Arabidopsis thaliana: one gene and its partner. The protein of the gene in region 2 interacts with the protein of the main gene of each other region in a pairwise test. Each region holds a gene or a part of one and is shown on either strand. Other genes may lie near its edges.

What was found.
Region 1: the proteins of AT3G05070 (region 2) and AT1G57540 interact in a protein complementation assay, tested with the Arabidopsis thaliana proteins (one large-scale study listed by BioGRID).

What each region holds. Positions count from the first base shown.
Region 1 is NC_003070.9:21,309,202-21,313,288, forward strand, and holds AT1G57540 (40S ribosomal protein), read right to left. Parts: upstream 2,321-4,087; 5' UTR 2,212-2,320; exon of another isoform or gene 2,021-2,211; 5' UTR 2,015-2,020; coding exon 1,867-2,014; intron 1,441-1,866; coding exon 1,277-1,440; 3' UTR 694-1,276; downstream 1-693. Other genes in the region: AT1G57550 (Low temperature and salt responsive protein family), read right to left, coding at 3,340-3,423, 3,534-3,608.
Region 2 is NC_003074.8:1,414,312-1,418,521, reverse strand, and holds AT3G05070 (Cwf18 pre-mRNA splicing factor), read right to left. Parts: upstream 2,448-4,210; 5' UTR 2,288-2,447; intron 2,052-2,287; 5' UTR 2,043-2,051; coding exon 1,915-2,042; intron 1,618-1,914; coding exon 1,485-1,617; intron 1,369-1,484; coding exon 1,254-1,368; intron 1,048-1,253; coding exon 989-1,047; 3' UTR 680-988; downstream 1-679. Other genes in the region: AT3G05080 (uncharacterized protein), read right to left, coding at 377-484; AT3G05060 (NOP56-like pre RNA processing ribonucleoprotein), read left to right, coding at 2,958-3,038, 3,127-3,168, 3,262-3,441, 3,522-3,686, 3,893-4,093, 4,187-4,210.

The DNA of each region.
Region 1 (4,087 bases), on a different chromosome or scaffold from region 2:
AACCGTTCGAGTTGTAGCCATCACTTTCGAATATCTACCAGATTTTTCCAAGAAGCATGTTTGCATATATTGTTGATATGCATTCTAATTTCTAACTTTGTTTACAATTTCTTAAAGAGGAATCACTCTGTATATTCTAAAGTACTGCAAAATCATTGTGTTCATATATTGTTATAATTTTACACATGTATCAAATGCAATAGTACAGTTCGACCTTCGCTCAGTTGGTAGACAGGAGGTTGTTTCTTTGCGCCAAGAACTGTGCAAAAACCACATGTGGATGGATCTTTTGGTTTTGTAGTCTGCCTAGTCAATGGTTCAAACATCATAAGGTGTCAAGTATAGTGAAAGTAACCTCTGACATTTCCACTCATTCCCTATAACAAACTTGGCATGTAACGTAACTTAACCTTTTACCAAAAAAAAAAAACTTGACATGTATGCATTTCTCTTATTGAGTTCTCTTTTGATAACGATTTTGTTGTAATACTCTTGTCAAAGAACACTGAAAATGGAATGAAACAAGCTTTAGAAAATAAGATCTGACCCTACCGGATTCAAACTATTGACCTAAGGATGTTCTGCTTCAACTATTGTTTTCATTCGAAATGCAAAGAAACAACCTCCGTTCCAAAAAGCTAGATCTTTGGCCTCCATAGCTTGCAGAATTCACTTGATTAAGTTATGTTCTCCATGACATTATAATACCACAGGCTTATATGCTGTGTCTATATGACAATATCACTGAAATCCTAGCTCTTTACTCACATTCAAAACACATTGATGTCGATTATAATTAATTAATTAATTATGCTCGAGAAATGGTAGCATTAGGTTTGTTGGTGATCAAACATATTCCTACACATATTTAACTAGCAGGCATCTCCATGAAGTCACAACCTCGGTGTGGATATTCCACCTATGACTAGTTTGAGGGGATAGTGAGACCCAACCCTCCAAATAAATCCAAAGGTCTTCCCTTCGACAGCAAAAGCTTTAGAAAGCTAAACACTCTCCCAAAAGAGTGTGACCAATGGCCAATTACACTACACTCATAATCAAACACACACGAAAATGAGAGAGGAGCATAGGATGATACTCTTAACTCTATCAACCTAAAGGCTATATGAAAAAATACACCATAATTTCTAAAGGAAACAAAAAGTGACAGAATTTGGTAGTATTATAAATAGTTACCTAAATTCATGTACTGCAAGAAAATGTACAGAAGATGAGGTCCATACACATCATAGGTAAAGCCAGATTATGATGGGGTTTAAGGGAGTGAAGCTTGAGGGGTTTTGATGTTATCATATGCAGCAATGTTTTGTGGTTCACATTCAGGGCTGAAGAGACGGACAAGCATTGCAGTTGATGTGCTTACGGACAAAGCACCACACCCAGCCCACCGCAGACTCCTTGGCACTGTGATCCTTGGACCTACACATTTCCCAAAGAAAACATTTGCTTTTATAACCGTTCTATCTTAGAATTGACTCAACTATTCTATTCTACGTTCCTTTTACTCTTAAAACCACATAAACAACAAACCAACCCCAAGAATCATTTTTCATGACAATAGGAATCAAAGAACAAGTGTATTGCTTCCCAAAACGTGTAAAGATCCAATCTTTCACCACATCAAACTATTCAATCAAAGCTCCTTTTGGATTCATTTTTCTCATAAGAAACGGATACTACAGAACAGAAAACAGAATGGTAATACGCATTGGTATGTTTTCATAAGGCTACAAGAAATCTTTCTAACAATCAATTATGCAGAGCACTGGATTCAATAGCTATATGGAGAACAACCTTTTGATGGAAACGCAAATCACTGATTAGAAAGGAGAGAACTTTGTTTACCATAGTGAAGTCTGCAAAGAACCCAGAAACCAAGAGCTCCACCAACAGTGAAAATGGCAGCTGTTTGTTTCATCAGTCTTGAACATGGCTTAGCATCTGATCTCATCAGATCTCCTTCTGACCATCCTAACTTCTGCCTTAACGCCATTTCTCTCTGTAATAACAACACCAAATTAATTTAAGTATAAGAGAAACGAAACTATTCGGTTTTGTGATTAAGATATTCACTGAGGCATTTCATCGAGCAGTATAAGGGCAACTTCAAAAACGAGCAACAGATATAATAACTCTATATGGGTTAAGATCTAAGCAGTAAAAAAGAGAGCAGAATTGGTACATAAATACCAGAAGCAAAAGCAATCTCTGTCGTTACCGGTGATGCGTAGTTTCTTTGGCTGTGTCGCCGTCGAGCTTGTCGGAAGAAGACGGAGAAGAGAATCAGATCCACGTGTCTAATTAGCTGATATTTGGAAGCCCAATAAGTGTTAACTATCTTAATGGGCCGGACACAATAATCGTCGGATCCAAGTGATACACGTGGCTCGGAAAAACAATTTGTTTTTTCAAGGAGTTGGTTTCTGTCTTTCTGAATTAATTAAAAGGTTTTTTTTTCGTTAATTAGTACGAACTAATTAAAAGTTAGTGTAAAGTAGATTCGAGGTTTCACCGAGGTACACTTAGAGAGTTAGAGGGGATTGCAAAAAACCTTAATTGACAGCATTAACAATGGATTAATAGACGCATCTATTATCGGAATTTACACCGATATCTTGGATATTTAAGGTTAGAAAATAATATTTTTCTCATTCGAATCGTTGTTGTAACCAAGTAGCTCATAATTTTTTTCATTATGGGAGAGCATTGACTATACCAATTGATCCTCTTTGGTAAGATGGGACGATTTCAATAGATTTTGTTTACATTTTTTGCTTACCACTTTGAGGTAAAGAATTTGTATATGCAGGGATTATTGGGAACGTCTTCATGGGAGCCTATACCACACGGTATTCGATTCAAGCAATCTTCAAATCGGAATTGCAGAAGCTATATAAAATTATAAATGTATGTACACAGGTTTATATTTATCGTTATACGCATAAGTAAACTGTGTGTATCGATGACTCCATGTAATATCTCTATCAGAACTTTATAGTTCCTAATGGTACTAATAATTTGATCACTCTTTAGATGTAGTATTACTACAATTCAAAATTTATATCACGCATATAATAATATCATCAATCTTCCAAATCTGTTTATGATCCGTAAAATGTATCCATAACCTCTGCAAACTAGAACAACAGCAATTTGGAAACTGCTGGAATTTACATACATCTAACATAGCAAAAAGTTTGCTAGATTACAAAACTGATTCCTTAAATACAACATAAAAAATCTAAAAAAGCAAACATTGTTGGAAAAAGAAAAAGTTATAAAATAAAAAAAGGATCCAGTGTTTTTGATTGGTTATTCCTACTTGGTGAGAACGTAGATGGCATATATCAGTCCGGGGATAAAAGCGAATAACGTTAGAAGCAAACAGACCCAAAACTCCAACTGCAAACACATATACAAAGAAACAAAAAAACAAGAGATTTGATCTTACTTTGACCATTAATGTCAAATGTGTCATATATTTTTATGATTTATGAATGAAAAAAATTTACCCCAAGGCCATATCTGAGGAACACACCAACAGGAGGTATGAAGATTGCACAAAGAACCTCAAGGAAGCTACCCATTTTTTTCTTCTGTAATTTTATGTTTTTTTTATATGTTTTTTTATGTTTTTTTTTGTTTTTCTGTTTCTTAGTTTTGAACTTTGTTTTATTTCTTCTTACGTGTTCATTTCCATTTATGAACTTTGTAAAAGAACAAGAAAATAGAATTAGTGGTTACGTTAAATAAGGGAAGAAACTGAGTTTGATTGTGTAACGTCCTCTGCTTGTTCCTAAAATGAAGGAGCTCCACTTCAACACAAACAACACAACCCTTTGCGTTTTGACGCAACCTTCCGTTGTTCATCGGTTGGAAACAAAAAAATGGGATGAACACAAATAAGAAGTCGAATAACTTAAAAATAAAATGTTTTGTTTTTGGGCAAAGAAATTAAAATGTTACAATCATAATGTCTGTTACAAAAATAAAATTAAATTTCATGGATTACAAATATATATAGGCCATTAGTTTGTATTAGTATCATCTTATGTAGATAAAATGT
Region 2 (4,210 bases):
GTTGGTGTGTTGTCAAGATAAAATTTATTGAGCGGCTCCATCTACTTGACAGTTTTTACTTGGGAAGGTGATTTCATATTAGGTATTTTCATCAGAAAGAAAAATAGAGATACTTGAGTTGGTAGATTTTTCATGTGAGCTTTTTCACAACTCCTGATACCAAAGCCTTTGTAGATTGCTCTTTTTGGTTTGAAACAAATGATAGGAACAATAATGTTATGTTGATCGAAGCCTTGAAATTGAATATCACCATATTCATTTATTGCTCTACAGATTGGGATCTGTCTGCTGGTGCATTTAATCACATGGAAGTCTATAGCTTTTCATTGCTTGTTCCTTCGAAAAGCATATATCTTGGTTTACCTTGGCCTAGTGTTTACTTAGCTTCTCTTCTTTGGAGCTTGGATTCATGAGAAGTGGGCACCAATAAAGGTCCAAGATATTTAGGTGAGATGGTGTCGAAAGCTTTACTGAATTTGTACATTAGGTTTGAGCTTTGGAAAACAAAAAAACTTAGTATCTATTTTTGATTGTTCGGTATTAATAAACAAATATTGTATCTAAACTCCATCATCCCACTGTGGAAGCAACATGCCGAGAAGAAAGGTCTTAGAAGCTCTCTGTGTTGTTTTCCCAGACTCCAAACTAAACCCGTCTAGCCCGAATCAAAACTTTGGTTTCTAGTTTGGGATGTCTTTATCAAACCACAGTAAATCGAATCAAACCAAAAAACGCAGTTCCATTAATGATCAAACTAGATTACCACCGATGTTGAACCAAATTTAGAGAAAAACCGGACCGCACTTAATTCTACTCGGAAATAAATTGCGACTTTCTTTGATTCACACAAGAAGATAAACCTACTATGTCTATGCCAATGGCTGTAGGATTTTACATGGTCTACTCACTTCGAATGCTTTAACAGTTAAACAAAATCGAGTAGAATATACTGTTCAGTGGTGGCTTTCTTTGATGACGTCGTTGGGTTTCAACTTTCTATGGTGTTACCATCAGCTTCAGCCATCTCACGTTCTTTCTCTTGCTCCTCTGCAATTAGATGATGAAAGTGCATGTGTTAGTTCCATAATAAACAAACACCAACAGATCACTCTATTTTGGACTTCTATGATTTGGTATCATACTACCAACAGATTCAGTGAAATGTTACTCACTTACTCACGAACCACAGACTAATGTCTTAATTATCAAGCTTACATAGAAGATATCAGTATGTAGATACAGTTGCCACTTACCCATGAGTTTATGCATTGCCTTTTGAGTCCGCCTTTCGAGCTTATCAAGCTTCTTCTGCACATCTCTTCGGAGGTCCCAGTTTGGCTTCTTTGGAGCGATGTTAACAAATGGGTCCTACAATGATAACATTTTTTGTAAGCTTAAGAGGCACAAGTAAAGGAAACAACAATGCTAAACAGAGTCGCTTTTGGTGATCCTTGTACAGAGAAAAGAAAAACTGTCACACACACCTCTTTCTTCTCTACAGCAGGTGGAAGTGCAACGATCGGATCTTCGAATTTGGGTAGCTCTGGTGGCGCTAGTTTACCATCCTGAAGCTCCTTAGCTTGGGGAACATAGTTTCTAAACTTCATGGCTGGACCACTGTAAAATCAAAGACAATTCATATGAATAAAAAGGGAATCTACCTCGAATAATCAATCAACAAAACCAACCACCTAAGCAAAGTATACACAACAATGCAACTTGAAATTGGAAAAAATTGTTAGGTAACAGATGCTGCAAGAGCACCATTATTGATTCTCTCACAAACAGTGATAGTAAAGGCGAGAAGCAAAGCACAAGAGAAGCTCCTAGTTATGCTAAAGCCAACACACAACATTAACAACTCCATGTGCTAGTCAAGACAAACAAAATAAGCAAAGAACAAAGCAAACTCACTCTTCTTCGACAGCTTCATCCTCTCCGTCTTCCTTGGTCTCAGACAGTTCCTGAGCTGCCCTTAGAGCTTTAAGTGCCTCTTTACGAGCAGCAGCTTTTTGTTCAATCGATTCATCTTCACTAGCCATTATAACTTCCTGCAAAATTAGGTTATCGACGTAAACATCGAACACTAGCCCAGCTTCTTCAAACACTAATCACACAACTACAGAGTATAACCCTAAACAACACGCAAAATCGTGATTTTCAGGATCCACGGAACTAATCAGATGAAGTTTTAGCAAAATCAGAGCTATACTATGAAATAAAGTTGAAGAGAAGTATGGAAAACGCTATCTACCCAGAAAATCAACGAGAAAATTTGAAACCGTACCTTGAAGCTTCGAGCTCTATAAATTCGAGACAAATTTGTTGAATACCACAGAGAAACAAAGGGATTAAAAAAGAAAAACTATTAAGGGGGAAGAGAACAATAAAACGCCCACGTATTAATATTATAAACGGGCCAGATTAAAATATCCATTCAGTCAGGCCCATTAATCTTAAAACCTAAACCCTAACTATGGAAGTTATAGAAATACCCCTTACAATACGCGGCGTTTTAAGAAGGCTCGGCTCGTCTTTAACTGCTATAACAACACACTCTTAAAACCCTAAGTGATTGTCCGTCTCCGTCTTCATCTTCTTCCTCTCTCTCACGCAGCTGCTTTGATTAACTCTTCAGGTATTTAATATCTCTCATCTTCTCTCTTCACGGTGTTTCACTTTTCCATTCTTGCTGGAGATTGTGGAGTTTCGAATACTCATACTCGGACAGAGTTTTAAGGCTATTGTAGTTTATCTCTCTGTTTTTTCTTCTCCTGTATTTCTTATGTGATCTAAAAGTAGGATTAGGGTTTATATGGAATGCTGTTTCTCGCTAGTTTTTAATCTCAAAACGAACTTTTAGTTTAATTAGTGTGACTCGGACACGTATCTTTACTGTTCTGAGTTAAGTGTTGTCTTAATTTTCTCTTCAGGTCCAGCTTAAGAGTTTTGTGAAGATGGTCTTAGTGCTATACGAGACAGCGGCGGGGTTTGCCCTCTTTAAAGTTAAAGATGAAGGAAAGATGGCTAACGTCGAGGTGAGTTCTCTTCATTCTTTTGTACTCTCTTTGCTTATCCTTAAGGCTCTAAAAGTATTCATGGATTATTTTTTATTTTTTTTTGCAGGATTTGTGTAAAGAGTTCGACACTCCAGACTCAGCACGAAAGGTAATTTTTTTGCTTCTTCATCAAGTGTGGTTTCAGAACATCTAAAATTAGATTTAGTGTTGAGTTTCTCATATGTTTTTATTGGTGTACCAGATGGTTAAGCTAAAAGCTTTTGAGAAGTTTGACAATACATCTGAAGCTCTCGAAGCTGTGGCTAAATTGCTGGAGGGAGCTCCAAGCAAAGGTCTGCGCAAGTTTTTGAAAGCTAATTGTCAAGGTGAAACCTTGGCTGTGGCTGATTCAAAGCTTGGGAATGTTATCAAGGAGAAACTGGTTTGTAATTCCCATCATTACACCCATATTCCTGTCTGCTCTGTGTTTTGTTTCTAATGAAAGTTCTTAATTTCATACAGAAAATTGATTGCATTCACAACAATGCTGTTATGGAGCTTCTACGTGGTGTTAGAAGTCAGTTTACTGAACTCATATCTGGGTTGGGTGATCAAGACTTGGCTCCTATGAGCTTGGGTCTGTCTCACAGTCTCGCCAGATATAAGCTAAAGTTTAGTTCTGACAAGGTATCTTCGGTTCCTGACTAATTGTATTGGTCTTTTTATTTGGTGATATGATATGTGAAGTATATGAATTTGTTAATTGATCGAAGCTAACTTGTGTTAAATTATGGAACTTCTGTATTGAACTAGCCTTTGATTGTCCGACATTAAACGTTTCCTGTGTTTGTTTTTGCTTCTCTTGCATCTCCTAACTGTTTAGTTTTTGTCAGGTGGATACCATGATTATCCAAGCTATTGGTCTGCTTGATGATCTTGACAAAGAGCTGAACACATACGCCATGAGGGTTAGAGAATGGTATGGATGGCATTTTCCCGAGCTTGCTAAGATCATATCAGACAATATCCTATATGCCAAATCTGTTAAATTGATGGGAAACCGAGTTAATGCTGCTAAGCTAGACTTCTCCGAGGTAACTTTCAATTTTGTAAACTGTGTAGAGGCTTCCATGAACAAACGCCTTGATTAACGACCTAATATTCTCCTGTTTCTGGTTTCATTGTAGATCTTAGCAGATGAAATTGAGGCA